4 linked regions of the Lepisosteus oculatus genome follow. The protein of the gene in region 1 purifies or fractionates together with the protein of each later gene. This does not show direct contact. Links are inferred from orthologs where the notes say so. Each region holds a gene or a part of one and is shown in the gene's direction. Other genes may lie near its edges.

The links.
Region 2: the proteins of vbp1 (region 1) and pfdn1 purify together in Homo sapiens (affinity purification with mass spectrometry; 4 studies listed by BioGRID and IntAct, counting the BioPlex papers as one, with this or other methods). This does not show direct contact. The link is inferred for Lepisosteus oculatus from reciprocal best matches to the Homo sapiens genes VBP1 and PFDN1.
Region 3: the proteins of vbp1 (region 1) and pfdn2 fractionate together in Homo sapiens (co-fractionation; 8 studies listed by BioGRID and IntAct, counting the BioPlex papers as one, with this or other methods). This does not show direct contact. The link is inferred for Lepisosteus oculatus from reciprocal best matches to the Homo sapiens genes VBP1 and PFDN2.
Region 4: the proteins of vbp1 (region 1) and pfdn6 purify together in Homo sapiens (affinity purification with mass spectrometry; 6 studies listed by BioGRID and IntAct, counting the BioPlex papers as one, with this or other methods). This does not show direct contact. The link is inferred for Lepisosteus oculatus from reciprocal best matches to the Homo sapiens genes VBP1 and PFDN6.

What each region holds. Positions count from the first base shown.
Region 1 is NC_090703.1:47,078,400-47,085,707, forward strand, and holds the start of vbp1 (prefoldin subunit 3), read left to right. Parts: upstream 1-4,222; 5' UTR 4,223-4,252; coding exon 4,253-4,333; intron 4,334-6,185; coding exon 6,186-6,310; intron 6,311-6,727; coding exon 6,728-6,794; intron 6,795-6,901; coding exon 6,902-7,000; intron 7,001-7,308. Other genes in the region: prss23 (serine protease 23), read left to right, coding at 1-863. UniProt on the Homo sapiens protein: Binds specifically to cytosolic chaperonin (c-CPN) and transfers target proteins to it. Binds to nascent polypeptide chain and promotes folding in an environment in which there are many competing pathways for nonnative proteins.
Region 2 is NC_090706.1:41,109,047-41,116,266, forward strand, and holds the start of pfdn1 (prefoldin subunit 1), read left to right. Parts: upstream 1-4,187; 5' UTR 4,188-4,252; coding exon 4,253-4,285; intron 4,286-5,315; coding exon 5,316-5,482; intron 5,483-7,220. UniProt on the Homo sapiens protein: Binds specifically to cytosolic chaperonin (c-CPN) and transfers target proteins to it. Binds to nascent polypeptide chain and promotes folding in an environment in which there are many competing pathways for nonnative proteins.
Region 3 is NC_090713.1:22,363,796-22,371,686, forward strand, and holds the start of pfdn2 (prefoldin subunit 2), read left to right. Parts: upstream 1-4,891; 5' UTR 4,892-4,930; coding exon 4,931-5,020; intron 5,021-6,203; coding exon 6,204-6,292; intron 6,293-7,735; coding exon 7,736-7,859; intron 7,860-7,891. Other genes in the region: nit1 (deaminated glutathione amidase), read right to left, coding at 394-651, 1,296-1,421, 1,874-2,010, 2,554-2,657, 2,869-3,099, 4,009-4,115. UniProt on the Homo sapiens protein: Binds specifically to cytosolic chaperonin (c-CPN) and transfers target proteins to it. Binds to nascent polypeptide chain and promotes folding in an environment in which there are many competing pathways for nonnative proteins.
Region 4 is NC_090713.1:23,463,231-23,470,965, forward strand, and holds the start of pfdn6 (prefoldin subunit 6), read left to right. Parts: upstream 1-4,645; 5' UTR 4,646-4,802; coding exon 4,803-4,866; intron 4,867-5,762; coding exon 5,763-5,833; intron 5,834-6,067; coding exon 6,068-6,192; intron 6,193-7,735. Other genes in the region: mrps12 (small ribosomal subunit protein uS12m), read left to right, coding at 1,264-1,312, 2,195-2,583. UniProt on the Homo sapiens protein: Binds specifically to cytosolic chaperonin (c-CPN) and transfers target proteins to it. Binds to nascent polypeptide chain and promotes folding in an environment in which there are many competing pathways for nonnative proteins.

The sequences.
Region 1 (7,308 bases):
CCGTGGATCTGGAGGACAAGGAAGAGGAGGAGCCCGGCCCCGCAATTCAGCCTCCCCCCAGGAGGTGGCGCCCCGCTGCGCGCGGGAGGCGCAAGCGTCAGATCTACGGGGCCGACGGCCGCTTCAATATCCGCGGCAACAACTTCCTGCTGGACTACCCCTTCTCCACCGCCGTGCGCATCTCCACGGGCTGCACCGGGGTCCTGGTGTCGGAGCGCCATGTGCTGACCGCCGCCCACTGCGTGCATGATGGGAAGGATTACGTCAAGGGGGCCCGCAAGCTGAGAGTGGGCTTTCTGATGCCCCCTTCGAACAGCACCAAAACCGAGCGCCACCCGCCCGGGTCCCAGCCCGAGAGGAAGCCGCTGGTGCGCTGGGTGAGGGTCAAGCGAACCCGGGTTCCGAAAGGCTGGATCCAGGGACCCCAGGAGGCCAGCATGGACTTCGACTACGCCCTCCTGGAGCTGCGCGCCCCCCACCGGCGCCCCTACATGCGTCTCTCCGTGGCCCCTTCCGCCCAGGACCTCGCGGGCAAGCGGATCCACTTCTCCGGGTTCGACAGCGACCGGCCCGGAGAGCTGGTGTACCGGTTCTGCCCCGTGGAGGACGAGTCCAACGACCTCATCTACCAGCACTGCGACGCGCGGCCCGGCGCCAGCGGCTCGGGGGTGTACGGCCGCGTCTGGGACGCCGCGCTGGAGCGCTGGGAGAGGAAGGTGATCGGAGTCTTCTCGGGACACCAGTGGCTGGAGATCAACGGGGAGAACCGAGACTTCAACGTCGCCGTCCGGTTCACCCCTCTCAAGTTTGCACAGATCTGTTACTGGGTGAAGGGGAACCACTTGGACTGCCTTCAGGACTGAGCGCAGGAGACTGGGCTGGGGACCGTAGCCTGGGGGTCCCGGTGCCCTAGTCCCATATCATTCAACTTCTTTAAACGGTTTCATGCTTTGTGATTAAAACAAGGTAGTAAATTCCTAAAGAAACAGCCTTTATGCGGGGGCAGCCCGTGCATGCAAAGGCTAAAGAAGAATCTTGTCTGTTCTTAGTGGGAAATGTCTGTCTTGGGCGCCCTTCCTGGTTCTTGGCTTGCTTTGCCCGCACTCACTGATAGCGATTGTCTCAGCAGAGAAGAGTCTTCGTGAAAGGAAGCTAACAGACCACTCTGGACCTCTTTGTGCGTGACCTACGGCAAACCGTAGGAGCGCTGTGATAATTTAATCGATACTTCGTTGATGCACTTTTGCTTGCCCTACCTGCCTTGTGTATTTTACTGTGTCTGTTGTCGCGGTCTGAGAGGACCCGAAACCGGTCCCTCTCCTGATATCTCCCCCTCCCCCCGCGAACAGCGAATTCCCCTGCCCCCTGCCCCCCGGGCTGTGATGGACCCATTAGCACAGGACGGGCCAGGCTCCGTTCCCACAGGACCGGGGGGGCAGTCGTAGCTCCACCTTCCCAGCTTCCAGCTGAAAGTTCCAGCATCCCTGTGCCGTGGACCGCATGAGCACCCTTTAAATCAGATCCACTGAGATACTTCCTCTCCAGCCTGTGATTACCGTCAGGTCTCTTTCAAACGACCTGCACACCCATGAGCACTCTCATAAGAGAAGAAGCTGTGATTTTGTTTTACCATGAGGAGGGCGCTCCGTTTCATAAGGGTAACCGGTCAGGTTGAGGAAATCACTAAGTTGGAAGATTTAAGGAACTAACGTCTCAGTGTGCTTTTTTGGGGGGGAGGAGCAGATCTCCCTGTAAATATAAGGGGAAATGCGCTGAAGGGCCTTTAATGAGAGTTTAACTGGTGGGACAATCTCACAGCCTCTGTGCCTGACAGCACCGCTCTCTGCAGAGCACAGGCTGATGCTGACCAGCCTGCTCCCGGCCATCCCCCCCAGTAACACAGCACTTCCTTGTCCGCGCGTGTAGCCCTGACAGCCACGCAACGGCTCGGCGTTCCTCTGCCAGGGCCCGGCCGGGGCACTGCCGTTAGCAGGATTCCGGTTGCGTTTCATTTCGTTTCATTAAGTTTTATTTGAGAAAGCCTTCTATATATTTGAATAAACTGGATATTTGATTAACTGTTTCTCCCCGTGTGGGTGTTGTCTGTCTTGTCTTGTTTTGGTTTTTCTTCATGTCCTTGAAAAGTAGCCGAGATCGGGAACCCCATCAGGATAAAGCCCACTTTTCCCTGAGAGGAAACGTGCAGCTTTACAACAGCTTTGTTTCAATGCTGCGTGTTGAGCCTGTAGTCAGGTTGTTGTTTTTTTTTGCTGTAAAAAACTACAAAAGGAAAGAAAAGATGAACAGCACTTCAGGAGACGGCTACGTTTGAGCCAGCTGTCTGTGCTCAAAGTGGCAGAAGACTTGAGTTTCTGGGGTTGATATCCATGAGCTTACTTATAGATCAATTCATAAATTAAGATAATGCAAGAAGAAAAGTTTGAATATAAATGCATAAACGAATTGGGAAAACAAATAACATTAGGAAGTTAGATCCCAGGGATAACTAGCATGATCCTATAGGACAAACAGCCATTCCCCTGGTCTTAACCACTCACGGCCTCCTAATAATCCCCATGAACTGGCTTCATCACTCTGCTCTCCTCCCCACTGAGAAATGATCATGATGGCTGCTGTCACATCGTCCAGGTGATTCTGTTCACTGCTGGTGTTAGTGGGATTCCCCGTTACCTGTAACGTACTTTGCAAAAAAGCACTATAGAACTGTAAGGATTACACTAATGATGAGGATTATTATTAATATCAGATAAGATCACTTTATTGGCCATATACAATTTCTTGCATTAGGAGTTCATCTTTTCACATACCCCAGCTTGCTCTCCATGAGACACAGACAGGGAGAGAAGCAGGGGGTCAAAGCACATGGTCAGCCATTGTACAGCACCCCTGGAGCAGTTAGGGTTAAGGGCCTTGCTCAGGGGCCCAACGGAGTAGGATTCCTCTGCCAGCTGCAGGATTTGAACCGGCAACTTTCCAGTCACAGGCGCAGATCCTGAGCCACAGAGCCACCACTCCACCCGATATTCTGTTTATATATTGCATGTTTATAATATGCTGTTTCACTCTCAAGATTTTCTTGGCCACTGAGTTTCCTGCCTCCCGTTGTCAGGAAGCTGCTTGTTCCTGGCGAGGGTCACGCCAACCGGGAGCCCATTCTGGGAAAACAGGGCGCAGGACGGCACCCGCACCCCGGACGGGGCGCTAATCCACTGCAGTGCGCGCACACACAGCGGGGACAACAAATATAATGAACGTAGCTCACATATGTCTTTGCAGAGCGAGAGGAAACCCGTGGGAACATGCGAAGACATGCACACTCCACCCAGAAGGTGCCCTCGTCTGAAACTCAACCCAGGATCCAGGGAACATCTGTTTTTGAACTAAGCCGCACGATCAAAATCGGCGGCAGATTAATCATTTTTTATTTAAAACAGTTTTTCTCTACTTGGAAAAATAAATATTCATCAGCTGGATGGGGCAGCATTGCAGCCTGGCAGTGCAGGGGGCCTGGGTTCAAATCCTAGGGTGCTGTCTGTGTGGAGTTTGTATGTTCTCCCCATGATTACATGGGTGCGCTCTGGGTTCTCTGGTTTCCTTCCACAATCGAAAGACATGCTGGTTGGTTAACTTTCTGTTCTGTTCTGGGAAAACTGACCCTGGTGTGTGTGTCTGTGTGTCTGCCCTATGATGGACTGGTGTCCAGTCCAGGGTGTATCCTGCCTTGTGCCTGTTGCTTGCTGGGATAGGCATGACACCCCTAAAGCAGTTAGAAAATGAATGGATCCATGGGATTAACTACTTGTCATAAAGGCTAGGTTGCATATTTTGATTGTGATAACTGCTCAGCTGTTTAAATTCAAAGCCTTGCTTTTAGTGTCAGATTTCACGATGACGGTGTTTTAAACGATTTCCTCCCGAAAATAAATTAGCATTATTTCAGGAGTAGCCTGAAATTTACAACACCAGGATCCCCCCCGCCCTAACTTGTTCCCCCACCTTGGACAAAGAAACGAAAGATTAAACTACACTCTCCAGAAAGCCTTGCGGGGGACTCGCCCATATCCGGCTGCGTTTCTCTACGATAGGTCCTACCCGCTCGAGCCGTTCTCCCCGGCGTCCAATCAGAGCTGCAGTTGCGGCTGAGGAGGCGGGGAAAGGTGATGGGTGGGGTCCACGTTCGCTACGCACAACGTCAGCGCCGCTGCATGGCGTGAGGGGAAATCTGTCCAAGATGGCGGCGACCACGGAGAGCAGCAATGCTGTGGCAGCAGGCAAGCGAAAACACTTAGGCATCCCGGAGGCTGTATTTGTGGTAAGAGGCCAAAGGCAACGTCTGTTGTGCCTTTTTACATGTGGAGAATTATTGATGATGAAGGGCTGGGAGAACTCCGTGCAGAAAGGAGAATCCGATATTACAGTAGCTAGCCATCCACATCCTTAAAAGGCAGTTGGAGACATTTCGACTATGAAAGCTAAGCACCGGGATCTGAGACTACAAGGAAAAGGGTGGTCTCGCTTGCGGGCGGACGACAATGGGGCATTGAGCAGCCCGCACCCTTAGAGCTCAAATGCATTTTTAAGCATACCTCCACACCCAGAGCATAGATTTTATGGTATCCAATGGTTACCGCTGTACCGTGGAAGCAAGTCGATTGAATGTCTTGTCTCAACTACAATCTTCGGACGTTCAAGTTCCGACCAACATTATAAGATAATCAGGGGGGCTGGATCGGCGTATTTTGTATTATTTAATTGAAAATATATATATTTTTTAGCAGTTCGGCTGGGGTGCGGGTTTGACAGCGTCAATATTTCAGTTCAGGAGCCCTTCCGGCCGCGGGCTCCAGCGCGGTGCAGATGAGTCACTGCGTGCTGGGTTAGGACCTCGGGTCGTGGAGACGCGCTTGTCGTTTGCGGAGAAGGAGGTGGACCCGTGTCTGCTCCACAGCGAGAACCTCACTAGCTCCATTGTCGTTAGATGGCGTGACCGAGAACCGTAAACGAAATGTCCGTTTGAGGTCCGGTTAAGAAATCAGAGCAAATCATATGTTGCAATAGTTCATTACCAAAAGTGGCGATGGCATCTTCCATACCCCTTTGTCTTTATCGTTATGTTTCTGTGCTATTGCCCGTACTGGTGTAATTTTCGACCCGTTGCTGAGTTGTTTCTGTGTAAATGTCATCTGGATTTTTTTACAGGGCAAATTATGGGAAAAAAAAGCGTTTTGGCCCAACATTACATAGATTATTTTCTTAGTGAAACCGTTTTTTTTTAACATGTTCAGGCACAAGAACAACTGTCTCCTGAGTGGAGACTCTACAGAGCCATGATAAGCCTCCGACTGCTTTTATATTGGGAGACACGACGAATAAAGACGTCTTCCGGGCTGATTAATGGGACTGACGCAGACCCAGAGCTAGTATCATCTTCAAAACAGTTAAGCTTCTGAGCCCAGGGTTGGAACCCGAGTCTTCCTGAATGTGGTTCTTGGGGGCGATGTCGGCACAATTAATTAAATCCCTGACCTTTCTGATCAGCTGCCTTCCTGGTCCCAGCTCCATCTGCCTCTTGTTCTCTTAGTTCTGAATTCAGTTCAGGATTCAAGAGCAAATCAGGAAGGAGCCTGCAGTATTGTACTAGAACTGCGCCTGGGCAGAGGGCTCTTGTTCACTAGTGCCTCTTTGAACAAGAGTCTTGTTCAAGTGGAGTCTTGTTCTACTAGAGTAGGGCACGTCTGCCATGACGGGCCTACACTCGGGATTAAATAGCTGCCGGAGTCTTGATGTAGCAGAAAGCCCGGCTTTATCAATGCATTCCCGAGCAATTTCACAAAGCCGATAACGAAACAGTTCAGTTCCTGTTACCCAGTATGGAAGAGATTTTGCCTTTGTGGTTTTAAACATGAGGGTTAGTGTGCCAACGGGTTACCATGGTGACAGGAAGTGGGAGGAGTAACCGCCCTGATGTCCATATATGGCATATATATGGGAGGGGCACTGGCTGCTGTACACCTGAGCAAAGTACATCACTCAGACTGCCCCAGTGAAATACCCAGTGGTAAATAAAGGGTAGAAACATGATGCTTTGGATAAAAGAGTCGGCCGAGTAAAGTTGCCCGATGAACTATCAGGAGGGGTGATTTCACAGATCCTCTCTCTCGCAGGAGGATGTGGACGCCTTCATGAAGCAGCCTGGCAATGAGACGGCTGACGCTGTGCTGAGGAAGCTGGATGAGCAGTATCAGAAGTACAAGTTCATGGAGCTCAACCTGGCGCAGAAGAAGCTGAGGTGAGCCCGAGGGCGTCTCTGCCGCCCGTCGCCCGTGGGGGTGATGGGGGTTATAGGTCTTGCTAAACCGTAGGTCTGAATACTCGCAGGAGAGGGTTGTGTTGCTCCAGTCAGTCTTGAGGTTAAGTGATTAGGAGGAGCCTGAAGCTGTTCATCATTAAGTGGGATTTAAAAAAACTGCCTGTTTTGAGAAACGGGGAGTTTTCTGGGAGTAGAAAGCGTTTGCTGCCGTGAACAGAGCTCGCGGAATGTAGTGGCGCATGAAGAGAGAGCCATTTTTTTCAGGGCTTTGTAAAGGAACGCCGTCAAACGGCTCCCGGTCCTGCGTCCGGAGACTCGTCCTCCAGATGTCCCGGTGTGATGGAAGACGGTCTTGCCCATTAACCTCCCAGCTTTCCTGTTTTTGTCTCTTTTCAGATTGAAAAGCCAGATCCCCCAAATTAAGCAAACACTCGAAATTTTAAAACACATGCAGAAGAAAAAGGTACATCTCGGCCGCATGGGGTCACTGCCCACCGGGTCTAATTTCTTTTCCACCCCTCTTGTGTGTTTTGCAGCTGCTTACTGTGATTTTATTTCCACCTGCCTTAGGACACCACAGATCCTTTGGAAACCCACTTCCTGCTGGCTGATAACCTGTATTGCAAGGCCTTGGTACCCCCCACAGATAAAGTCTGTTTGTGGCTTGGCGTAAGTATTTAATCCATACTGCTACGTCTCATTAGTAAATTGCGTTAAGTTGACGGTTATTCCAACCCTGACGAGCAGAGATATTGTAGTGTTAACTTTAGGTTGACCAGGGGGAGCACTGCATCCCCTTTTGGGGCGACCAGGGGGAGCACTGCGTCCCCTTTTGGGGCGACCAGGGGGAGCACTGCGTCCCCTTTTGGGGCGACCAGGGGTAGCACTGCGTCCCCTTTTGGGGCAACCGGGGGTAGCTCTGCGTCTCCTCTGGGGTGACCGGGAGGAGCTAAACTAACAGAAACGTATGTTAATCA
Region 2 (7,220 bases), on another chromosome or scaffold:
CGTCCAGGTGGGGGTGGAGTGGTCAGTGCTCACGTCCAGTGGAGGTGGAGTGGTCAGTGCTCACGTCCAGTGGAGGTGGAGTGGTCAGTGCTCACGTCCAGGTGGGGGTGGAGTGGTCAGTGCTCATGTCCAGTGGAGGTGGAGTGGTCAGTGCTCACGTCCAGGTGGGGGTGGAGTGGTCAGTGCTCATGTCCAGTGGAGGTGGAGTGGTCAGTGCTCACGTCCAGGTGGGGGTGGAGTGGTCAGTGCTCATGGCCAGGGGTGTGTGGAGTGGTCAGTGCTCATGTCCAGTGGAGGTGGAGTGGTCAGTGCTCACGTCCAGGTGGGGGTGGAGTGGTCAGTGCTCATGTCCAGTGGAGGTGGAGTGGTCAGTGCTCACGTCCAGGTGGGGGTGGAGTGGTCAGTGCTCATGGCCAGGGGTGTGTGGAGTGGTCAGTGCTCATGTCCAGTGGAGGTGGAGTGGTCAGTGCTCACGTCCAGGTGGGGGTGGAGTGGTCAGTGCTCATGTCCAGTGGAGGTGGAGTGGTCAGTGCTCACGTCCAGGTGGGGGTGGAGTGGTCAGTGCTCATGGCCAGGTGGGGGTGGAGTGGTCAGTGCTCATGTCCAGTGGAGGTGGAGTGGTCAGTGCTCACGTCCAGGTGGGGGTGGAGTGGTCAGTGCTCATGGCCAGGGGTGTGTGGAGTGGTCAGTGCTCATGTCCAGTGGAGGTGGAGTGGTCAGTGCTCACGTCCAGGTGGGGGTGGAGTGGTCAGTGCTCATGTCCAGTGGAGGTGGAGTGGTCAGTGCTCACGTCCAGGTGGGGGTGGAGTGGTCAGTGCTCATGGCCAGGGGTGTGTGGAATGGTCAGTGCTCATGAGCATGGGGAAGCAGACTGTGGGGCTCTGGGCTTAGGCAGGTCTCTGGATCCAACTGCTCTGACAGGTTTCCTGAAATGGCTGGCCAGTCCAGTTTCCCCAATGTAAATGGCTGGGTACTTTCTGCATGAAATGCAGTAAAGGAGATTGCTGGAGTGAAATACTAAGACATTGTATATAAACTCAGCAAATTATTGCAAAACCGTGTTGAACATAAGGGAGCGGTTGGTAGGATCAGGCTGGTCCTCGCCCGGCTTGTGTAACGCCACAAAACGGTCCTTTTGTAATCCAGTTGCTGTGAAGCCTTTCCCAATTCTCTGATGCAAAACACAGCTTCCTTCACTTCCAGCCACACAGCTTCAATGTGAATTCAACCTGACGACGACAGGAGAATTCACATTTCACTCATGCAAGTGAGTCTGCAGACAGGACCAGCTCATGGTCTCAGAAGCAGCAGGAATAAACCAAACAGTCCCAGGATGCTCTGTGGTTGAATTCTGCACTGAGCATGAGCGCAGCTGTCAGGAAGGACTCTTGAGATGGCCTGTATTCCTTCACTTCTGGGCATCCTGTTGTACACCACTGATGTCACAAACTGGAAGCTGGTGTTTTTTGTCACATTGATTTCTCATAAACTTCTTGCCACACCATGCAAGTGCTGCAGAAAATACAGCACAGCACAATGTGAGCATCCTGGGTTTCAAAACAGAGCAAACCACCATTTCCTGACATGAAAGAGGAGCGACGCATTTTGATTTTGACTGGAGATATTTCCTGTCGAGCCCGGTTAAGGCTTGGCTATTGTCTCAGCTGGGACATTAATAACTCAGCTGAACTGGAAAAGGCAGACTTTAAAAAAAGACTTATGGTCTTTGGTTAAACAGGCCGATCTTATTCATATAGTTTTCCGTAGCTATTTAATCTGAGGATTACTTTATTTACAGTGGCCCTTAGGGGTCTTGTCCTCTTCCCATCAATGAAAAGGGTCTCAGCACAAGAATGGAATAGGTGCCCATCTGAGAGTTTACTGCAATATATTTACCATAGGATTTTCCCATTTGCCTCGTGGATTTACTGTGGTGCATGTGAGTAAATACTCCATGGAAATACTATTCTTAAACCACAGCATTCCCATGGTCCAGAGTAGTAAAACACAGTCAAGCCATGGTAAAAGTTTGAAGTGTGCCCAATAAGTGTCTTGTCACACATGCTGTTACTAACGGGGCTGTTAGAATTTCAGGATGAGGTCAAACTGTAAACTTGCTCTTCAGTAAAAAAACCTGGCTCCTGTGCACAACTCTGCGCCCATCTTTTCTACACTCCTCCCTGCGCCACAACTCCACTCCTGCAGCTGCCTCGCTGGTTCATCCCTCGCAAGTGAGGGGGGTCGTGACAGCAGCTCTGGGCCTCCGCCAGTGATGTCACTTCCTCAGCCAGGAGAGTTAACCCCCAACACTAGGAAATTAATGACGCAATCCCTTAACATTCATTTGGCTTGCTTCGTCGGTTGTATCACTCCTTGCCTGAACCGCCGAATATCCCTTTATTATTTGCTGAAAGATAGCAGCTCCCAGTCCGTGTGTTTCTTCAGGCTCTTCTTTCTTCCTTGAGTGGAAACATGACAGATCTGCAGCTTGGCCAAGGCCTGTGGTCTCCCCACACCTGCACCCTGCTCCCGGGCCCGCGACCTCGGCACCGGCCCAGAGTGGGGGGGGCCGGCCCAGCTGGAGGGGGGCTGCGTCACCCAGCCCACACAGGTGGAGGGCGAGCTGCCGAAACCACGCGCACTGCCACCGCGAGACAGACGACAGCAGCGAAGGCTGAGGACCGACAGAGGTGCCTCAGGAGCTCGTGTTGGACCTGTGTGCGGTCAGCAGTAACCCACTGGGATCCAGAACACAGGCGTTCACTTCACATTCGGATGACTGGAAAAATCTACAGCTACATTTGAAGATTCAGTATTAGGAAGCCTCCAATCACGTGTGTTTTCTTGAGCACTGGTCAAGACATTTTCCACAAGGAGCAGGGGCTTCTCCTGATTGCACCAGTTATACAACCTGGATCACATTCCACTCCAATTTTGCGATTGCTGCCATGGACACACTTGACTAGAGACTTTTAACCGTTTCTCGACTTTGAACTGCATTGGTCAGATGTTCAGTGTCCAGTCGATACGCTGGGCCGGGCACTGCTCCGTCCCAGACAGTCCTGTCAAGGGCGGTGTGTCCGCACGCTCCCGGTGTCAGCTCTGAGCCGGGCCGGCCCGCGGGCCGTCTTCTAGCCGGCGCAGCTCTGCCTGGCTTCAGCGGAGTCAGCGTGGTCAGCGTGGCTGACCGGAGGCCTACAGCAGGGGCGTCCAGCCCTGGTCCCAGAGAGCGCTGTCAGGCGGGGGTTGTCAAACCATCAAATCACGCCTTTCTGAAGGCAGTTTTACCATGATCGACGAAACCGGGGATTCATTAGAATATTAAAACATTTCATAGAGTGCGAAGGGCTGTCGCACTGTCCAGGGAAAGCTCTGCCCTCAGTCTGCTGCTTGCTGGGATGGGCGCTGGCTCTCCTCCTGCACAGTGTAGGATAAAGCTGTGAGAAACTGGATGGACGAGATGGAATTTTATAGACAGTTTGGGGCATAAACCTGAATACTCTCTCACCTCCAGATTCATGACTTAACCGTCTTCCCCATCTTTAGGAATAGGTACAAATTTATACTTTATATGATATCCTACAGGGAGGTTTCCATCTTCCAGAACACACCGGGATATTATGATGGGGATCGTGAAATGGATGTGCTTCATTTGGTCGATAACTGCTTCTCTCTCAGGTTGCATGGTTGCCTATTAAGGAAGATGGTCTTATTGACCTAGTTTCTCAAACAACCGGGACATATTCAAGGGAACAGAGGCGATACAGACACGGGGAAATTGAGACCATAATATAGTACTTATCTATATTTAGATTCATTTTAAATCTAAAGACTGAGGTCTAAATTTGGCGTGTGTAATTTTAGAAAAGCAGGCCGTGAGGGAGCAGGGCAGAGCTCGCCAGCACAGGCTGGGACCGGCAGGAGTCAGAGACAGCAGATCAAGGATGGCTGCACTTCATGTCAATGTCTCAAAACCAATTTCGTCCAACCTGTCATGCTACTAATATGAATGCACTTTCTAAGCATTATGAATTATTCAGATATAGACGTTCACACTGAATTGCTCCATTTTATGCAAAATAAAGCTAAGCCACACTGTTATGAAACGTACTTTTACTATGTACGACTGTAACAAGGCGTTTTAACACGCGGTCGAGGTAAGACCGTCTCTGCATGACGTAATGACTCGAGCTACCGGCATGCAGCCTAGCAACCGATAAGGACTCACTGCGCATGCGTTCACCTCTCCAACATGGCAGCCCCCGTAGATCTCGAGTTGAAAAAGGTAAAATGTTTTATTTCATTCTTATACGATAACGGTTGGTCATTCTCAACGGCAGCATTTTAGTTTCTGGTAACTTTATCTCTCATGTCGTAGCCTTTTGATGGTTTTAAAACGGGGAGACAGCCCTTTAATCCTGTCACAAAGCGTGTGGTGGAGAGAAAGCGTGTACAGGACCTCTGAGTTTGAAAAAGGCTAGCTAGCTTAAAGTCATACCTGTTTTGTCTTTTAATTGCGTGATTTTACCATTATTAGATTTTTAAATTAACGTCGTATTATCTGGTTCGTGCAGCGTGCGTCAGTTTGTTTTTAATATAGCCAAACATCTCCTTTGTTAAGTGTTTTAAGATGTCATTCTGCTTTCGGAAATAGAACGATTATTTCCTCCGCGATAGTGTAGATTAGTAGAGTCCCAGCAGCAGGATGCCCAGTGTTCAGGTTGTCGTGATTACACGAAACGTGAGTCAGGCCAAGAACCGACACCCCGCGTATGTGTTGCATCTCATCGCGGTCGTTACCAACATCGACTAAAAAACTATGCTTCTATAACGTGGGAGATCTGAATTACCCTTGTAGCAGCTACACCTGCCCGTTTGTTAAATAATGCTTATTCTGTTTAATTATTACAATCTCATTATTCTGCACTCAGTGCATAATTGTACATCCATCCATTTTCTAACCACTCTGTCCAGCTCGGTGTTTTCGGGGATGCTGGAGCCTATCCCGGCAAACAGTGGGTGCAAAGTGCGATACACCCTGGACGGGATGCCAGTCACACACTGATACACACACACACACACACTCACACCAAGGCCAGCTGTCCTAGGAGCCAGCTAACCTTCCAGCATGTCTCTGAACTGTGGGAGGAAGCCCACACGAATCCGGGGAGAACATACAGCCCTGCAAGGCAGCAGCTCTGAACCCGGCTCACAGTGCCTCCGAACCCGGCTCGCAGTGCCTCGCCACGCGGGACGACGGCAGACCTCCTGCCTGCGAGTGGCCGCGGTGTGACGTGATGCGGTGTGACCCGCAGGCTTTTGCCGAGCTGCAGGCGAAGGTGATCGACACCCAGCAGAAGGTCAAGCTGGCGGACCTGCAGATCGAGCAGCTGAGCCGCATGAAGAAACACGCCCACCTGACGGACACGGAGGTCACCACCCTGCCCGCGGACACGCGCATGTACGAGGGCGTCGGCAGGATGTGAGTACCCCCGCGTCTCTCTCGCCCCCTTGTCTGGGTCTCCCAGGCCCGTTCGGTTCGGATCGGCTCTGCTGTGCCTCCCCAGCGTTGCGACTGTGGGCTTTGGCACTCGTATCACTACATTCCTATTACATATAGAGTCTGATTGGAACCTTAGGAAGGTCACAGAGAAGAGGAGGCCATTTGGCCCATCTAACTAAGCGAAGGTCATCTGTCCATTTCTTGCGAGAATCCCAGGGTATCAGTTTCAACAAAATGTCTGGGCAGCTTGTGGCAGACACCCATCACCATTTGTGTGAAGAACACAAATCTACCTCCTCTTCTGACTGGAGGATCTCATTCAGCTGTGTCTTGAAAGAAGCCAGAGGCTCTTATTGGCTCTGACAGCAATGCTGGGCAGCTTATTCCAGATTCCCACTACACGTTGCAGTTAAATTTGGCTAAAGTCTCTTTACCATTCCTTTGCAGTTTCTACAGTGTTTGCTAATCCTTGTATTGTGATATCATCTGTGCATTTGACTGTGAACTATACCGGAACCTAGATCACTGGTTAAAAATTAGGGAGAGCGGCAATCCTGATACATATTCTTATGCTACTCCACTAATTACATCTGTACCAATGCCAGTCTGAGCAGTCGTACTTTTTTTCTGTACTAATTGTTTCTGTCCATTAACCTGTTCTGAACCCAAGGGCATGCATTACTTTGAGTGTCTGTTGTCTGTGTTATTAGAATTAACTTTAATGAGGAACTTTGTCAACAGCTTTCCACTCATGTAAATTTTATGATCTCTATCCATTACTGCTGATTGTTCAAAGAACTCTGATATATTACAGAAGATCTAACCCTTTTTCTCTGTAAATACCGGAGTCAAATAGTGATGTATCGGCTCTCTCCATTTCCTGGACTGATTCCTCTGAGACTTGAACTGGAACCTGTTCCATTTTTACTACTTTATAAAGTGCTTTCTTTCTCCTCAAATTGCTTTAGTGATTAAACCTTTAGGGTTTCTGCATTCTAGCCGTTGATTTGCTTACTCTTTGGGATTGATAATTTCTGTTCCTTTGTGTAAAGAAGTACCTCTGGTTGGTGTTTCACTGTTCATTCTGAAGAATGTTGCTGGGTTGAATGCGTCACTGCCTTTGAGGGAACATGAACCCCTGACAGCACTAAGGGTGTTGTGTAGGTCTGATCTGAAGTGGAAAATGTCTTGGGATTTTTAACAAATATTTTCCAATAGAATGACTGAAATCAGATAAGTCCAAGGTTAAGCAAACATGCACAGGAAAGCAAGTGTTTTTTGCTCATATGTCCAGTCGGAAGTGTGATTGACAGAGACTGGTGATGAGTATTTTCTCTTGGTGTAATAATCCTAGCCTTCTGCGAATGGTAGACATTTTTATTTGGTTCAAACCGCTTTCAGAAATGGCACTGGATAGGTTTCTTGTGTTTCCCAGTGCACAGTACTGGTGTTGTCATTACTTTTGTGGAGAGTTAGATGGGTTTGTAATTGAAAATGTTTAATTTTATCTCAAGCTAATAATAGTATTTCGTTTTTGCAATCCAACATGTCATTCCACTTGCAGGTGTTTAACGAATTTCTCAATTTGGAGACTATTGTTCCTGAAAACGTTCTTCCGTACCATACAGCACTGCAACGTTGTGTTAACTTGGCCTCACAGGCTTGGCTTCACGTCAGCCAGTTTGTCTACATTTATAGTACCGAGAGTCATCGTCAT
Region 3 (7,891 bases), on another chromosome or scaffold:
TTTATGTGACAGTTCCAGCGGCACGGGAGATATTCTCACGGAGCTCAGTGCCGACGCAGAACCGCGGCGGCTCTCCTCTCCTTCACACGCCAGGGGGCGCTACAACAACGCAGTGCGGCCACTGCGCCTGTTTAAGCGCGTACCCCAGAGCTCAGGGACGTACCCCAGATTTCGCTACAGCCCCAGAAGCTCAGGGAGGAAGAAGCTTTTCAGTTCGGTACAGATTACAAACTGAAGAAACTGACCATAAATTAATTGCTTAATGTTCAATTAGGTCATTAAGGTCAGAGGCTGCAAGCAGAAGCAGTGGGACTCTGTGCTGCCCCCCCCAGGGCTGCACACAGAATAGGAGAACAAGTTGAATAGCTCCCCCCGCCGCAGGTGTCCAGTGGTTCAGTCCTGGCTGTAGAACTGCTCCCCCCGCCGGTGCTGCTGCAGTGGCATGTCCCTCCTCACCTCCCGCAGGCGCTGCAGGTCGACCTCCACCAGCGCCAGCCCGGGCTCCGTGGCCCCGCAGGCCCCCAGCACCTCGCCCCAGGGCCCCAGCGCCAGGGCGTGGCCGAAGGAGGCGCGGCGGGCGTGGTGGCGCCCCACCTGGGCGGCGGCCAGCACGAAGCACTGCGTCTCGATCGCCCGGGCACGCAGCAGGACCTGGGGCACACGCAGAGGAACAGGCCTCAGAGACGGGGACCCCTCTCCTTCGATCACCTTCACCCACACTCCCGCCAACTGCAGCGATGAAGTCACCCCGGGCCGGGCTGCGTACAAACCAGAACAGCCTGGAGGGGCTCGGGTTCGACTGAGGAATGATGAAGATCTCGGGTGTCAATGAAGTCTCTCTCATTGCCCCAGACAAGTTAATCATTTCTTCAATTTTAAACTACTTTCTAACGCCCGAGAGGCGATTAGATTTGGTTTCCCAGGTCAAGTTAAGGTCAGTTACCAACAACAGGGCCTCACTAGGCTTTGGCCTGTAGGATCGTCCTGCATGTGTCCAAGTCGCCCAACGACACTCAGGGTTAATGTGGAGTAGGGAACTGGGTTTGACACCCATGACTTAAGAATGTGTGCATGACTGCTTGTGTGGGCTTCTCACATTGGGCACCCAGGCCATCTCTCTGTGCCGAAAACACCAGGGACGACACAAGTCCGTGTCTGTGGATCTCCCTGCTCAAGCCCAGCAGAGACACTGCTACCGACAGCAGTCCTAAAACTCACTGAAAGATTGCCGTACACACGTCGGCCCCGCCCACCCCGTCCTCCTCTCCATCGCGTCCGTGAGGTCACTTCCTCACCTCCCAGTGGGCGGTCCCCGTTGCCACGGTGAAGGCTGAAGGATAGGTTAGAATCTCCGCCCCCTTCCGCACGAGGGCCAATGAGAACTCAGGGAAGCGCAGGTCATAACACACGCCCAGTCCCAGCTGGAAAACAAAACAGCTGGATGCGATCATTAATTACAGCTGAAGACCTTACCTGACTCAGTCAAATTAAAAGTTCTGGTGATATCAGTAATAGCAGACTGGATTTGTACTGGTATAGCAGAGCATTTCACATAAAGGGGGAGACCCACATCATCCTCCACTGAATTGTTGCCCCACCTGGGAGATGCACAGTGTTCATTATGCACCAGCAGCCCCAACTGGGAGACGCACAGCCTCCATTCTGCACCAGCAGCCCCACCTGGGAGACGCACAGTGGCCATTCTGCACCTGCAGCCCCACCTGGGAGACGCACAGTGTTCATTCTGCACCAGCAGCCCCACCTGGGAGACGCACAGTGTTCATTCTGCACCGGCAGCCCATTAACAGCCCGTGGTCTTCGGCTGCCCCGGTGCTGGAGATAACGGTGAAAGAGAGAAGAGAAGAATCGTAACCTTGCCGAGGGGCGTCTGGACGGGGGGGACGATGCAGGGTCCCGGGATGGTGAAGGAGCTCTCTTTCAGGGACACGCCCCTTCCTGTCAGCTCCACGTCAAACAGGTGGCACTTCCTGTAGACGGCTGCAATGTGACCTGGGAGAAAGAGAGGATGAGTGTGGCCGTGGAGTGACAGGGGTCATGTCACCATGCCCTGAATGAATTATGAATGATGAATTATTTGATCATTGTAGAATTTTCTGACTTTTTTCAGCCACAGACAGCAGGTATTATGACCAATGTAAAAACAGCAGTGGTCAACATGATGCCTCGCTGTGCTAAGGGCCCCACATTAAATTCCGGACCAGGGGTGCTGTCTGTGTGGAGTCTGCATGTTCTCCTGTGATTGCGTGGGTTTCCTCCCACAGTCCAAAGACACGCCAGTGGGTTACTTGGCTTCTGGGAAATCGACCCAGGTGTGAGTGTGAGCGTGCGTGCATGCGTGTGTTTTGCCCTGTGATGGACTGGTATCCCTTCCAGGGTGTACCCCGCCTTTCGCCCGCTGCCTGCTGGGATAGGCTCCTGCTTCACTTCGGCGGTGAGCTGGAAGAAGTGGTGGGAGAATGGGTGGGTGGATGGAACAGCACGACAGGACAGGACAGGACAGGACAGGACAGGACGGGGTGGGGGGCTGCGTACCCTGGTCATCCAGGATCACGTGGCTGTTGTAGATCCGGCGATCCCTCTCCCAGTCCTCCCCTCGCTCGTGGAACCCCCCCAGGGACAGCCAGATCCCCAGTTTCCTGAGAGGGAGAATTGGGAGGGACGTCAGACAGGCCCTGGACGACGGGGGGCACCCAGCTCTTGTGCTTCTCCTGGACTCTACGGTTTATTTCCTGGTTCTACTGGGAAAGATGCCACCCTCCTCCTCCTCCTCCTCCTCCATGTGAGTAAGAGCAGGGAACAGAGCCTGAGCGAGTAACGAGCCCCCAGGCCGCCCCCCGGTGGACGGACCTGGCCAGGGCCGCGTAGCGCCCGACCGTCTCGCCCTCCAGCGCCTCCGCCAGCTCCAGCGTCTCCTCGCGGCCCGAGCCGATGAAGTCGAAGCCCTCGGGCAGGAAGGCCATGCAGGCCCCGCCCTCGCGCGCCCGCTCCACCAGCCCCTCGCAGCTGGCGAAGTTGGCCTCCTTGTCCGGCGTGGAGGTGACCTGGCACAGCGCGGCCACCGGCTTGCGGGAGCTCATCCTGGGAAGGAGGGAGGGGGAGAGCGCGCCTGTGTTAGTCTTCCCCCTCCCCGGGACTGGACAGGAGTCAGCCTCAGCTGCAGCTTAAGCCCAACGGACTTCCGGACGGACCAGCCTCAGTCCCAGGAGGGGGGACCGGGATCAGTTCAGGCACCCCTCTCTGAACTGGCTCCATCACGCTGAGAGCTGGGGTGGGGGGAGCGGACTGTGCCTCACCCAGGTGGGGCTGCACACTGCTGGGGGGTGGAGGGGATCCCCATGAGCTGTAAAGCGCTCTGAGTGGGGGTCCAGAGGACAGCTGTAGAAGTGTAGAGATGACACAATAAATAACATCACAATTCTGACTCGCTGCACTGATCAGTCACTTAAACAAGTTTGCCGGCGATGAGGGGGGGTGACCTGTATGGATCAGGACCACCACTGCAGGCCTAGTTTGTAACCTCTCTTATGCTCTGAGGAGCCCGAGTTTGAAGGGGCTGGGTTTGAAGACGGTCTGGAGTATAAACTGAGGTCAACCCGTTGGGACAGAGAGCCAGACAAGTGCCCTTTACAGCAGAGACCTGGGCTCTACCCAGCCCTTCTCTCACCACTGTATCCAGTACAGGGGGGAACCGGAGCCTATCCCAGCAAGCAACGGGCGCAAGGTGGGGTCCACCCTGGATGGGACACACACACACACACCGGGGCCAGTTTCTCCTGGGGAGAACATGCAAACTCCACACAGACAGCACCCCAGGTGCGAAAATGTATCCATGCAGCAGCAGTGCAAACCACTGATCCACTTTGCCCCCACCGGCACCACACCCAAACCTGACCAAGAGGAACGGGATAAGATTTTCAAACAAAGCGGGCTTTTCACGTACAGTACGGCGGCCATTAAATACCCCGCCGGTCCACGGGGCGTGTTTACCTCTCCTGGTCGCCTGGGCGCGCTCTCCGAGACGTGAAACTCGTGTATCGGAGGGCTGTGCTCCAGGCGTAGCTCGCTCGACTCCACAGCGTCCCGCGTCGCAGCATGGACGGAGCCCAGAGCAGGAACCTCAATCGAGGCAGAAAAGGTCGTCGCTCCTCCTGTTGTAATTTAACAGAACAGCCCCAGTATTGTGACCAATAGAGTGTGGCCGCTGGTGAAGGCGCACTTTGAACTGTTTTGTGTGCGTTTTTTTTATTTCGTTTCTCCGAACTGCAACCAGAATGATTACCTTGGGTATCAGATGATTTACTTTATTAAACAAAGTTAGAAACAACCGTCCAGGACATGCACTCTGAGTTTTAGGCTTACACCTGTGTTCAGGAAGAAATTGATCACGGGTTGACATGAAAAGAAAGAGCCTATATTGTTCATTCTGGCGTTACAGATCTACAGCAGTATGCATACCCTGTTAGTCTAACTTTATATAAACAGGTCATGCGTTTCCACCTGAGGATCTCCACGATTAACGGACTTAATGCGTCTATTATCGCTATAATACCTGTTCAGAAGTACACAAGATCACATTTCAAATACAGCGAAAATGCTTCTTTACACGATAATGACAACAAATGACATTTTTCCCCCCTGCAGCTAAATATCTTAAAACGAAATTTCCTAGGCATGTTGACAATGGCTGTTTTCGATGAATTACAATTACCTGTTTTCCATTAAAGGTGAATTTCCCTCAGACCTAATTGTTTGTTTGTTTTTTTAAATTATCATTAAAAGAATTTGCGTGGTTGTCGCACGGGTAGGCTACGTCTCGGCGCTTCTCGCGTTGGTGTCCAGCAGGCAGCTGGCGGGGCAGCCCCGGGTAGTAAGGAGGGGTCCTGGGAGCACGGCCGTTCCCCTAGTCAAGATGGCGGCGAGCAGCGCCAGCAGCGGCGGCACGGCCGGTGGTAAAAGCAACAGCGGCGGAGGGAAGCAGTCCGGCCCCACGGCCGAGCAGGTAACGCCCGAGGCCGGCGGGGAGCCCCGTTCTCCAGGCGGACCGGGTTTGGGAAGGGGAGGGGGCGGCAGAGGAGGTGTGGGCATGCGGCGGCTGATCGCACGCTCGCCTGAGCCCAGCGCCGCAACCCGAGCAGCCCCGATTTCTGGAAACACCAGCAGTAATGCAATCTCTGCAGTGCGGTGACACGACGGGACGCGACACGGGCTCTGATGAGCTACCGCACGGCAGACGAGACCCCCCCCTGTCGCAGGGGGCGCACGGTTTTTATTGTGGACTGAAACGCCCGTGTTGATAACCGGACCGTTACCGTGTACAGTACGGCGATGAGCCGGGTTTGGACGCGGCGTTTTCACGAAATACGACGAATTTGTCGGAACAGTCACTGGCTACCGTATTTTTATTACTTCTAGTGGCACAAAAATATGATGATTGTATCCTCACTAATAATAGCTCCCGTTTTGCTTAACGGGTAAGGGAAACGTACTGGAGTGTCCAGTCAGTGTGTCTGTATGAACCCCTCTCTCTCAGTGCAGTGTTAATGTACTGGAGTGTCCAGTCAGTGTGTCTGTATGAACCCCTCTCTCTCAGTGCAGTGTTCATGTACTGGAGTGTCCAGTCAGTGTGTCTGTATGAACCCCTCTCTCTCAGTGCAGTGTTAATGTACTGGAGTGTCCAGTCAGTGTGTGTGTATGAACCCCTCTCTCTCTCAGTGCAGTGTTAATGTACTGGAGTGTCCAGTCAGTGTGTGTGTATGAACCCCTCTCTCTCTCAGTGCAGTGTTAGTGTACTGGAGTGTCCAGTCAGTGTGTCTGTATGAACCCCTCTCTCTCTCAGTGCAGTGTTAATGTACTGGAGTGTCCAGTCAGTGAGTCTGTATGAACCCCTCTCTCTCAGTGCAGTGTTCATGTACTGGAGTGTCCAGTCAGTGTGTCTGTATGAACCCCTCTCTCTCAGTGCAGTGTTCATGTACTGGAGTGTCCAGTCAGTGTGTCTGTATGAACCCCTCTCTCTCTCAGTGCAGTGTTAATGTACTGGAGTGTCCAGTCAGTGTGTCTGTATGAACCCCTCTCTCTCTCTCAGTGCAGTGTTAATGGACTGGAGTGTCCAGTCTGTATGAACCCCTCTCTCTCAGTGCAGTGTGTGGACCTGTCCAGTCTGTTGACGTGTCTCCCTCTGTCAGGTGGTGGCCGGGTTCCAGAGGATGAGACAGGAGCAGCGCAGCATGGCGTCCAAGGCAGCGGAGCTGGAGATGGAAATCAACGAGCACAGGTACCGTCTGCTGGCCGCCTGCTCCCGTCCGGACCCTGTGCAGATCCTCATTCCCAGGGGTTCGGCTCTGCAGGTGGACACAGTGTTCCACCTGTTACTGCGCTGAATACATATCCGGCCATCTTCTGACCGCTTTATCTAGTACAGGGTCCCTGGGGAGCTGGAGTCTATCCCAGCAAGCAGGATGCACCAGGATACACCCTGGATGGGACATCAGTCCAGGGCAGGACACTCACAACAGGGCCAGTTTTCCCAGAAGCCAGTTCCCCCACCAGCATGGGAGGAGACCCAATGCGAATGCGGAGAGAGCATGCAAACTCCACACAGACAGCTCCTCTAGTCCAGAATAGAACCCAGAACCCCAGAGTTGTGAGACAGCAACCCTGAGCACTGCACCACCGTGCCTCCCAGCTCAAGAGTGCCCTAGGATATATAGAAGTACATGGACTCTATACACATACTCTACACCTCATCTACATAGACAAGGGCTGTGTGTCTGCAGCAGGGCTGTCCAGTCCTGGTCCAGGAGGGGTCAGTGTGTCTGCAGCAGGGCTGTCCAGTCCTGGTCCAGGAGGGGTCAGTGTGTCTGCAGCAGGGCTGTCCAGTCCTGGTCCAGGAGGGGTCAGTGTGTCTGCAGCGGGGGTGTCCAGTCCTGGTCCAGGAGGGGGCACTGTGTCTGCAGCAGGGGTGTCCAGTCCTGGTCCAGGAAGGGTCAGTGTGTCTGCAGCAGGGGTGTCCAGTCCTGGTCCAGGAGGGGTCAGTGTGTCTGCAGCAGGGCTGTCCAGTCCTGGTCCTGGAGGGGTCAGTGTGACTGCAGCGGGGGTGTCCGGTCCTGGTGCAGGAGGGGTCAGTGTGTCTGCAGCGGGGGTGTCCGGTCCTGGTCCAGGAGGGGTCAGTGTGTCTGCAGCGGGGGTGTCCGGTCCTGGTCCAGGAAGGGTCAGTGTGTCTGCAGCGGGGGTGTCCGGTCCTGGTCCAGGAGGGGTCAGTGTGTCTGCAGCAGGGCTGTCCAGTCCTGGTCCAGGAGGGGGTCAGTGTGTCTGCAGCGGGCCTGTCCGGTCCTGGTCCAGGAGGGGTCAGTGTGTCTAGAGCAGGGGTGTCCGGTCCTGGTCCAGGGGGGGTCAGTGTGTCTGGAGCAGGGCTGTCCGGTCCTGGTCCAGGAGGGGTCAGTGTGTCTGCAGCGGGGGTGTCCGGTCCTGGTCCAGGAGGGGGCGCTGTGTCTGCAGCGGGGGTGTCCGGTCCTGGTCCAGGAGGGGTCAGTGTGTCTGCAGCGGGGGTGTCCAGTCCTGGTCCAGGAGGGGTCAGTGTGTCTGCAGCGGGGGTGTCCAGTCCTGGTCCAGGAGGGGTCAGTGTGTCTGCAGCGGGGGTGTCCAGTCCTGGTCCAGGAGGGGGCGCTGTGCCTGCAGCCTGGCCTGAGCTGCCCTGTGCTTGTGCGTGTCCCGCCAGCCTGGTGATCGAGACCCTGCGCGAGGTGGACCCGGCGCGGAAGTGCTTCCGCCTGGTGGGCGGCGTGCTGGTGGAGCGGACGGTGAGGGAGGTGCTGCCGGCGCTGGAGAGCAACAAGGAGCAGGTGAGGCCGGCGCCCGGCCGGGAGGGAGGGCG
Region 4 (7,735 bases), on another chromosome or scaffold:
GTGCTGTCAGACTCCCAGTGCACAGCAGTCTGATCTGCTCCAGGTGTGACAGTGCTGTCAGACTCCCAGTGTGCAGCAGTCTGATCCGCTCCAGGTGTGACAGTGCTGTCAGTCAGACTCCCAGTGTGCAGCAGTCTGATCCGCTCCAGGTGTGACAGTGCTGTCAGTCAGACTCCCAGTGCGCAGCAGTCTGATCCGCTCCAGGTGTGACAGTACTGTCAGACTCCCAGTCAGCAGCAGTCTGATCCGCTCCAGGTGTGACAGTGCTGTCAGTCAGACTCCCAGTGCGCAGCAGTCTGATCCGCTCCAGGTGTGACAGTACTGTCAGACTCCCAGTGCGCAGCAGTCTGATCCGCTCCAGGTGTGACAGTGCTGTCAGTCAGACTCCCAGTGCGCAGCAGTCTGATCTGCTCCAGGTGTGACAGTACTGTCAGATTCCCAGTGGGCAGCAGTCTGATCCGCTCCAGGTGTGACAGTACTGTCAGACTCCCAGTGCGCAGCAGTCTGATCCGCTCCAGGTGTGACAGTGCTGTCAGACTCCCAGTGTGCAGCAGTCTGATCTGCTCCAGGTGTGACAATGCTGTCAGACTCCCAGTGTGCAGCAGTCTGATCCGCTCCAGGTGTGACAGTGCTGTCAGTCAGACTCCCAGTGTGCAGCAGTCTGATCCGCTCCAGGTGTGACAGTGCTGTCAGACTCCCAGTGCGCAGCAGTCTGATCCGCTCCAGGTGTGACAGTGCTGTCAGTCAGACTCCCAGTGTGCAGCAGTCTGATCCGCTCCAGGTGTGACAGTGCTGTCAGACTCCCAGTGTGCAGCAGTCTGATCCGCTCCAGGTGTGACAGTGCTGTCAGTCAGATTCCCAGTGCGCAGCAGTCTGATCCGCTCCAGGTTTTACAAACTACAAGAGGCTTTTGTGCAGTAGGCACACAAAGAGGCTGGAGATTTTTAAGTTTGTTACTTGGGGATTTTGTCTAAGACATTAGTAGGAGTGAGTAGACAATAGAAGTGTGACATCAAAGTTAAATTTTTATTTTTTCTCCCTTGCTCCTGGCAATTTGTGCTAGATTTTGCAGAGCTTAAAACATCACAGTGTAACAGGAAGCTGACTTGAGTTATGGTGCCAATGCCTGTGACGTGTATTTGACTATCGGAGGAGTCGCTTCTTCTCTCGTTAGTTGAAATGTGCCAGGAAGGTGCCTTGGTGCTGATGACACCTCACGGCGCCTTGCTTCTGTTCTCTCCCCAGGAGTCCCGCAGCACAGGGATGGCTTTGCTCTCCAATCTGCGGCCAGTGGTGTCAGCGCTGCTCTGGGGTGAGTGTCCTGGGCCAGTCCTGCCAACCTGCTGGTGCCAGTTCAAGCACAGTGACTGTAGCAGGCCTTGGGATTGGGGCCTGTTGCGCGTTCTTGCCGGGAGCTCCTTACAGGGAAAAGACAATCAGAATGAGCAGTAAACTGCAGGAGTATGTGAGTGAAGCACCTGAGAAAAAGGGTATATGTGCACCTGATTATGTGTTTGACGTTTGAGCACTGTGTGAAAATCACAAACATCACATAGAAACAAACCTATTAGAACATAAAAGCTTTGGCAGTTCTGTGGTGACTCAAGCAAAGCTGCAGATTGGCTGAGAAACTGATAATAGGGTAAAATTTAATTTTTAAATGAATTGCTCAGTATAATGTTGGAATAACATTATGAAACAAATGGTGAAATGGTGCTTAATGAAACAAAACTACAAAGTATTTGAATGGTTTGCAGTTGTGTTTGAATCATATAATTATTGAAAATGGTAAAAAAAATCTTTCTGTGCACAAAATAGGTGTGGTTTTAATTTGTGAACCGCTAGCATTTACATGCTACAACCATTTTGATTTTAATAAGTCATTTAAAAGAATTTCACACACAGGAGAAATCCTGACCTAACCCATGCATGCTGTCTGTACCACCTCGTCTGCCAAGGGGCGCTGATACAGGTGTCCCCTGTCCGTCCCAGCTCTGCAGCAGCATCCGGGGCCTAGGGTGCTGTAACTGAAGGTTCTGCTGTACTTATACGGTTCTGCGGTGACCCGGTAGAGAAGTATGAAGCGACATACTTGGTACATCTTGGGTAGAGGCGATGGAGAAGAGTGTCTGAGACAGGTCTTGACCGGCCCGTTCCCTCTCTCATGCTGTTCCTCGCTTTCTCCGTCCTGCAGGTGTGCACGGGGCAGGCGGTGTGGCCAGCTGGCCCCTGGCCCCTCTGCGTGGGATGGCCACTCTCAATCAGATGCACCGCCAGGGCCGGCCGCGCCCCGAGCCGCCCCGCGTCAGCCCCACCTTCGGCCGCCCGCAGCTGAAGGGCGTGGTGCTGAAGACCCTGATTCGCAAGCCCAAGAAGCCCAACTCGGCCAACCGGAAGTGTGCCCGCGTGCGTCTGTCGAACGGGCGGGAGGTGGTGTGCTTCATCCCCGGGGAGGGGCACAACCTGCAGGAGCACAACATCGTGCTGGTGGAGGGTGGGCGCACGCAGGACCTGCCCGGGGTCAAGCTCAAGGTCGTCCGTGGGAAGTATGACTGTGCCCACGTGCAGAAGAAGAAACAGTGAGCCAGCGAGGGACTGGGCCCTGTGGACACTGTGGCTTCATCCACACAGACTATTCCACCCGTTTCTCCAGTGGTCAGACCTCTCCTCCTGACCTGGGGCAGTTTTCTGCCACAGATGAGCTGTAATAAAGTCCACTCTGATGCTGCAGTCCTTTGTCTTTGTGCTATTATTAGAATCTGGGATTGAGGCAGGCAGCACTACATTGTGGTTTGAGACGGAATGTAATGTAACTGATCACAGTTATGGGTGGTTTGTTCATTTCAAGTGTCTGCTTTCAAACTATTATAAATGGCTACATTACTGAAGTTCTGTGCAGAAAGTGCTCTAATTCTCACAGAATGTTGCCAGTATTCAATTGTCTTGTCATGTTGCTCTGTGACGAGAGTACACAAGTTCATTCATATGCACAGCAGCCAGTCCTGTTTGTAAAAGGGAGAAAATTCAAATGAGCAACAATTCCAGTTTGCTACACAAATCCTGATGTTTTACAGAAGAGATGAGAATTGTTGTGCAAATAAAGATCTGTATTTCCACCCCTGAATTGAAGTGACTCAAACCAAAAAAAGGGTAATTTGGAAAGAAGGAATGGCCTTTTCTGGAAAACGCATTCAGTGAAGGTTTGAAATCCCTAAATAGTTCTCTAGTGACAGTGGACCTGCAGCTGACAGGTAAGATACCTGTGGTGACTGAGAGTGTGTCATACTAATGGTTTCATTCCAAACGTGCCTTGTTTTTGGGTGAAGTGCTGGAGAAGAAGGAGCTGAAGAGGAGGACAGCGCACAGCTCTTCATCTGCACCAGTGTCTGCTAGAAAGCAAATTTGCAGCTGTGGTCCCTGGGCAGGACACGGCCCTTGAGATACAAGATGCAGAAAAGACATTTCAAGACATAGTGTATGATAGATATTTCAATAGGTAAAGTGTATATAAGCACTGACAAGAAATACATTGAAAGTTTCAAGAAGTACATTAGAACTGATCAAGATGGAGAGCATGATGTTGGATAAGGAGGAAGAAGTTTCATGATTGCAAAGACTGATTTGCATGAAGCAATGATTTCACTTTAGTTTGAGGAGTTATAAATTAGATGAGAATCTAATTGATAGAATTGTGTTCCAGAAGCTGGAGGCTGTAACCATAACTGCTGACTCACCAGACTCAGTGTCTCTATATTTCACCCAACACATACAGCGAGAGGCTCCTGCGGTTCTGGTTTTGGGATACAAAACCTTTTAAAGGAGGGCGCTGAGGCTATTTCTGATCCTAAAAAACAGTAATTTGCAAAGTGCATGAAATTATCGAATGACAGTAGATGATGCTTTTTAGTTGTGTTGCAGTGGCGACAGGGTGTTGATTTCTTGTCCAGTGCTGAATGAGTAGAAGGAAGGGAAACACTCAGCGCCAGCTCGTTCCTGCTTGTAGCTCTCTTACAGCCGGCAGGATGGGTCATTTACAAAACACGAGTGCGCATGCTACTGTGTACTTGCATGTATACGTCTTATATACAAAATGAGTTAGGGAAAATAGTTAATGAATCTATACATCTAAACGTGTTCGTAATTCTTATATTACGCATTTTATGCAAACGATCCTGCTTTTCGGTAAACGATAATGTTTTTCTTATTTTTTCAAACGTTTGAACATCAAATAATACAAATGAGAGAAGGAAAAAGCGGTAGTGAAACAAATACACTGCCAGAGGTAATTACAAACCTGAATACAAAATGTATCTTTGCAATGCATTTTTGCATTAGTGTATTTAAACTTTTTAATGGAATATCGCATTTCCATCTTATAAATATCAAAGGAAGGAGAAGCGACAGTTGAGTGTATATATTTACCCATTATTAATAACAGATTAATGATAAATACATGTTATTTACATCTTGCGAATTATATCAAACTCCTTAACTCTAACATTCAGTTAGATGCTTAAATAGAAAGTCTTCCAAGTCTATCCAAAACCAACCCAACCTTTTTTCTTATTTCTCTGTCCCTTACCAACATGGCGTCTTTTACCATCACAAGTCAGTGCCGTGGTAGCGTCATATCCGGTGCGACGCCATAGCTCTTCCTGTCTCAGACTGTGAAGCTAGGCAGGTGGTGCGGCGAGGTGGTAAAAAGGCTGCCGAGCCCAATAATTAAAAAAAATATTTGGCATTTTTATCGGAATATTATTCCGTCCGCTTTTGGTACCCTAAAACCTGGTGTTGGACCAGCGATGGCGGAAGCAATCCAGAAGAGACTTCAAACTGAGCTCGAAAAATATCAACAGACCCAGAAAGGCAAAGTTGAATTTATTATTGCAGTTCTCCTAGATACAAAGTGGTGTCTATCGCATTCTGTATTTTGAGCTGATAGTGGCTACGGACGCACTGTTCTGGTCATCGTGTCGCTGGACACGTCTGATACTGGAGACTCACAAAACTCGAAGCTGAATGTGAAATGACCAGTGCTTTAAGTGGGTGACCACTCCGGTAGCGACTTTGTTGAATTGTTAAAGGTCAGCTCACGGGGAGCGTCCCAATCGCTTGTGTGTCCTTCTTCGTGTTAACATAACGCCGCTTTAATGTGAAGGAGCCTGGGGTTTCTGCCTCAGCTCTAGGTGATGATAATGAATCGTGCAGTAATAAAGGGGGCGGCACTGCTGCCTCATGGTACTGGGACCTGGGGTGCTGTTTGTGTGGAGCTTATATGTTCTCTCAGTGTTTGAGTGGGTTTCCTCCCACAGTCCAGACTGTGCTGGTGGGTTGATCAGCTTCTGGGAAAACTGGCCCTGGTGCGAGTGTGTGTGTCTGTGTGTCTCCTGGGATGGACTGGGGTCCCGTCTGGGGTACCCAGCCCTGAGCCTGTTGCTAGCCGGGAGAGACTGTGGCTCCTGTGTGGCCCTGAACTGGATGAAGCGATTAGGAGATGGATGGAGGGCTAAGAGTGTTTAAGGCAATATTTGTGCTTTTAAAGTGTCATTACTGATGTATGAAGAACTGCTGATCTGTGGCTGTGAAGGAGTGTGCTCTGCCTGTTCCAGTAAAAGCCTGTGGGCTGACGCAGAAGACGATAGGTAGAGAGTAGTGGTGCGTTAATGTGACTGTCACACTGGCCTCTATGTTACTCACGTTCCCTGAGAGCTGCGACTGCTTGGGAAATAGGAGGCCTAAATATTAAAACTGTTTCTTTGCAGATCTGAGTAAAAGCATGTCGGCGAGACAGAAGCTGGAAGCCCAGCTGACGGAGAACAACATCGTGAAGGAGGTGAGGCGCCACTCTCCCTTCAGACCTCTTTGATCCTCTGTTTTGACTTTCTGGTTCTGTTGCTGGTTCGTCAGCATCAGAGAGAGTTTTATTCCCTGCTGCTTGTCGCTTCTTCAGATGTGCGTCTCCTTTGTGGTGTGAGGCTGAAGCCTTTACTAAGGGTGAGTTGCAGGTCCTCCCATGTGGCTCTGAGGGCTAACTGGTTTATCTTCTGCTCTGGCTTTGTGGGGGCAGGAGCTGGACTTGCTGGAGGCTCAGAACACTGTCTACAAGCTGATTGGCCCAGTTCTAGTCAAACAGGACCTGGATGAAGCGAAGGCTACAGTGGGGAAGCGGCTGGAGTATATCACTGGAGAAATGTAAGTCCTGTGTGTGTTTGTCCTCGTACAATCCTGGCAGATTGAGAAAGTGAAGCCAAGTGTTAGTAGAGACCTGCCTTCTACAGCCCAGTTTGACTGAGCTAATCTGGCCCTGTAGTCTTCTCTCTGACCTCTCTGAACTGATATGTTTATTGTCATAAGAAGGCACATTACTCGTTTCTAATATGCTTTTCTTATCCTGGTCACAATCACTGCTACTGAAGTGTTACAAATTACAAAATCCTCTGTTACAAATTCAACTGTTTCTAAGCACTACAGCATTACACTGAGAGCTTTATACATCAATGCTCATTAGTTAAATTTCCTTGACAGTACCCGTCTTCTGTCCTGTGTGTGGAGGTTGTTGGCTTAATTGTGTTCTAGAGTGCACTTTATTGTAATATAAAAATCTAAAATAGCTACACTGCTGTAAAAAGACAGTTTAGATTGTTTTTCACTTATTACACCATGTTCTTCAATCTTTACGTGAAAACAACTGTATGGTACTCTACTGAACTTTAAGCTATTTTATGATCACATGTAATCCTGATGGATCTGTATATGGTAGGATAAAAAGTGGCCTTTTAAATTTGTAGATGTGGAAAGAGAAACTTGATAATGACAAGAAGCCCCTGACAGTGAGTCACTGAGATATGATGTATCAGCTGTGACTGGTTTAGGCAGTCCTGGTCCTGCAGGTTTCAGAAGTACCCGAATAATCCCTGGAAATCACAGCCAACTGACTTTTAAACACTTAATTGTATCAGTTAGGTAATTGAGGTTTTAGCTGGACTAAAAACAGTAATAGATTAAGTTTGTCCTGAGATGGTGTGTTTCAGTAGATACTGGTGAATTTAAGTGCCGATCTTGCTTTTTCATCAGATGCACTAGACTGTATCAATACTGGCCAAAATTGTTAAAATACCATAAAATATTAGTTGATGTGGTCAGTAAATAGCTGCATGGGACATAAACCTTCTTTAGCCTCCTTGTGTTTTCTCTCTAATTATCCGAGTGGTTTTAACACTTCCTTTAAGTAGACTATAACTGAAATGACGTGCAGATTTCTGGTAGAAATTCCAGGCCTGCAAGGAGGTACAGTTCTTTCTCACAGTCCTGTGCTCTGTTTGTCTCTGGGGCTCAGTGTCCTACTGTGCCACCCTGTGTCTCTGGGGCTCAGTGTCCTGCTGGGGCTCAGTGTCCTGATGTGACAGTTTGTCTCTGGGGCTCAGTGTCCTGATGTGACAGTCTGTCTCTGGGGCTCAGTGTCCTACTGGGGCTCAGTGTCCTACTGTGCCACCCTGTGTCTCTGGGGCTCAGTATCCTGCTGGGGCTCAGTGTCCTGATGTGACAGTCTGTCTCTGGGGCTCAGTGTCCTACTGTGCCACCCTGTGTCTCTGGGGCTCAGTGTCCTGCTTTCTTCTGTCTTTCAACATCTTTCCTTTCTCTCTCTTCATTGCAGACTGTAATTTTAACTTCTGTCTTTTAAAAGAGGGTTATTTGCCTTCTTGGCTTGTTCTTGGCCAGTACCTGTGACTGCAGT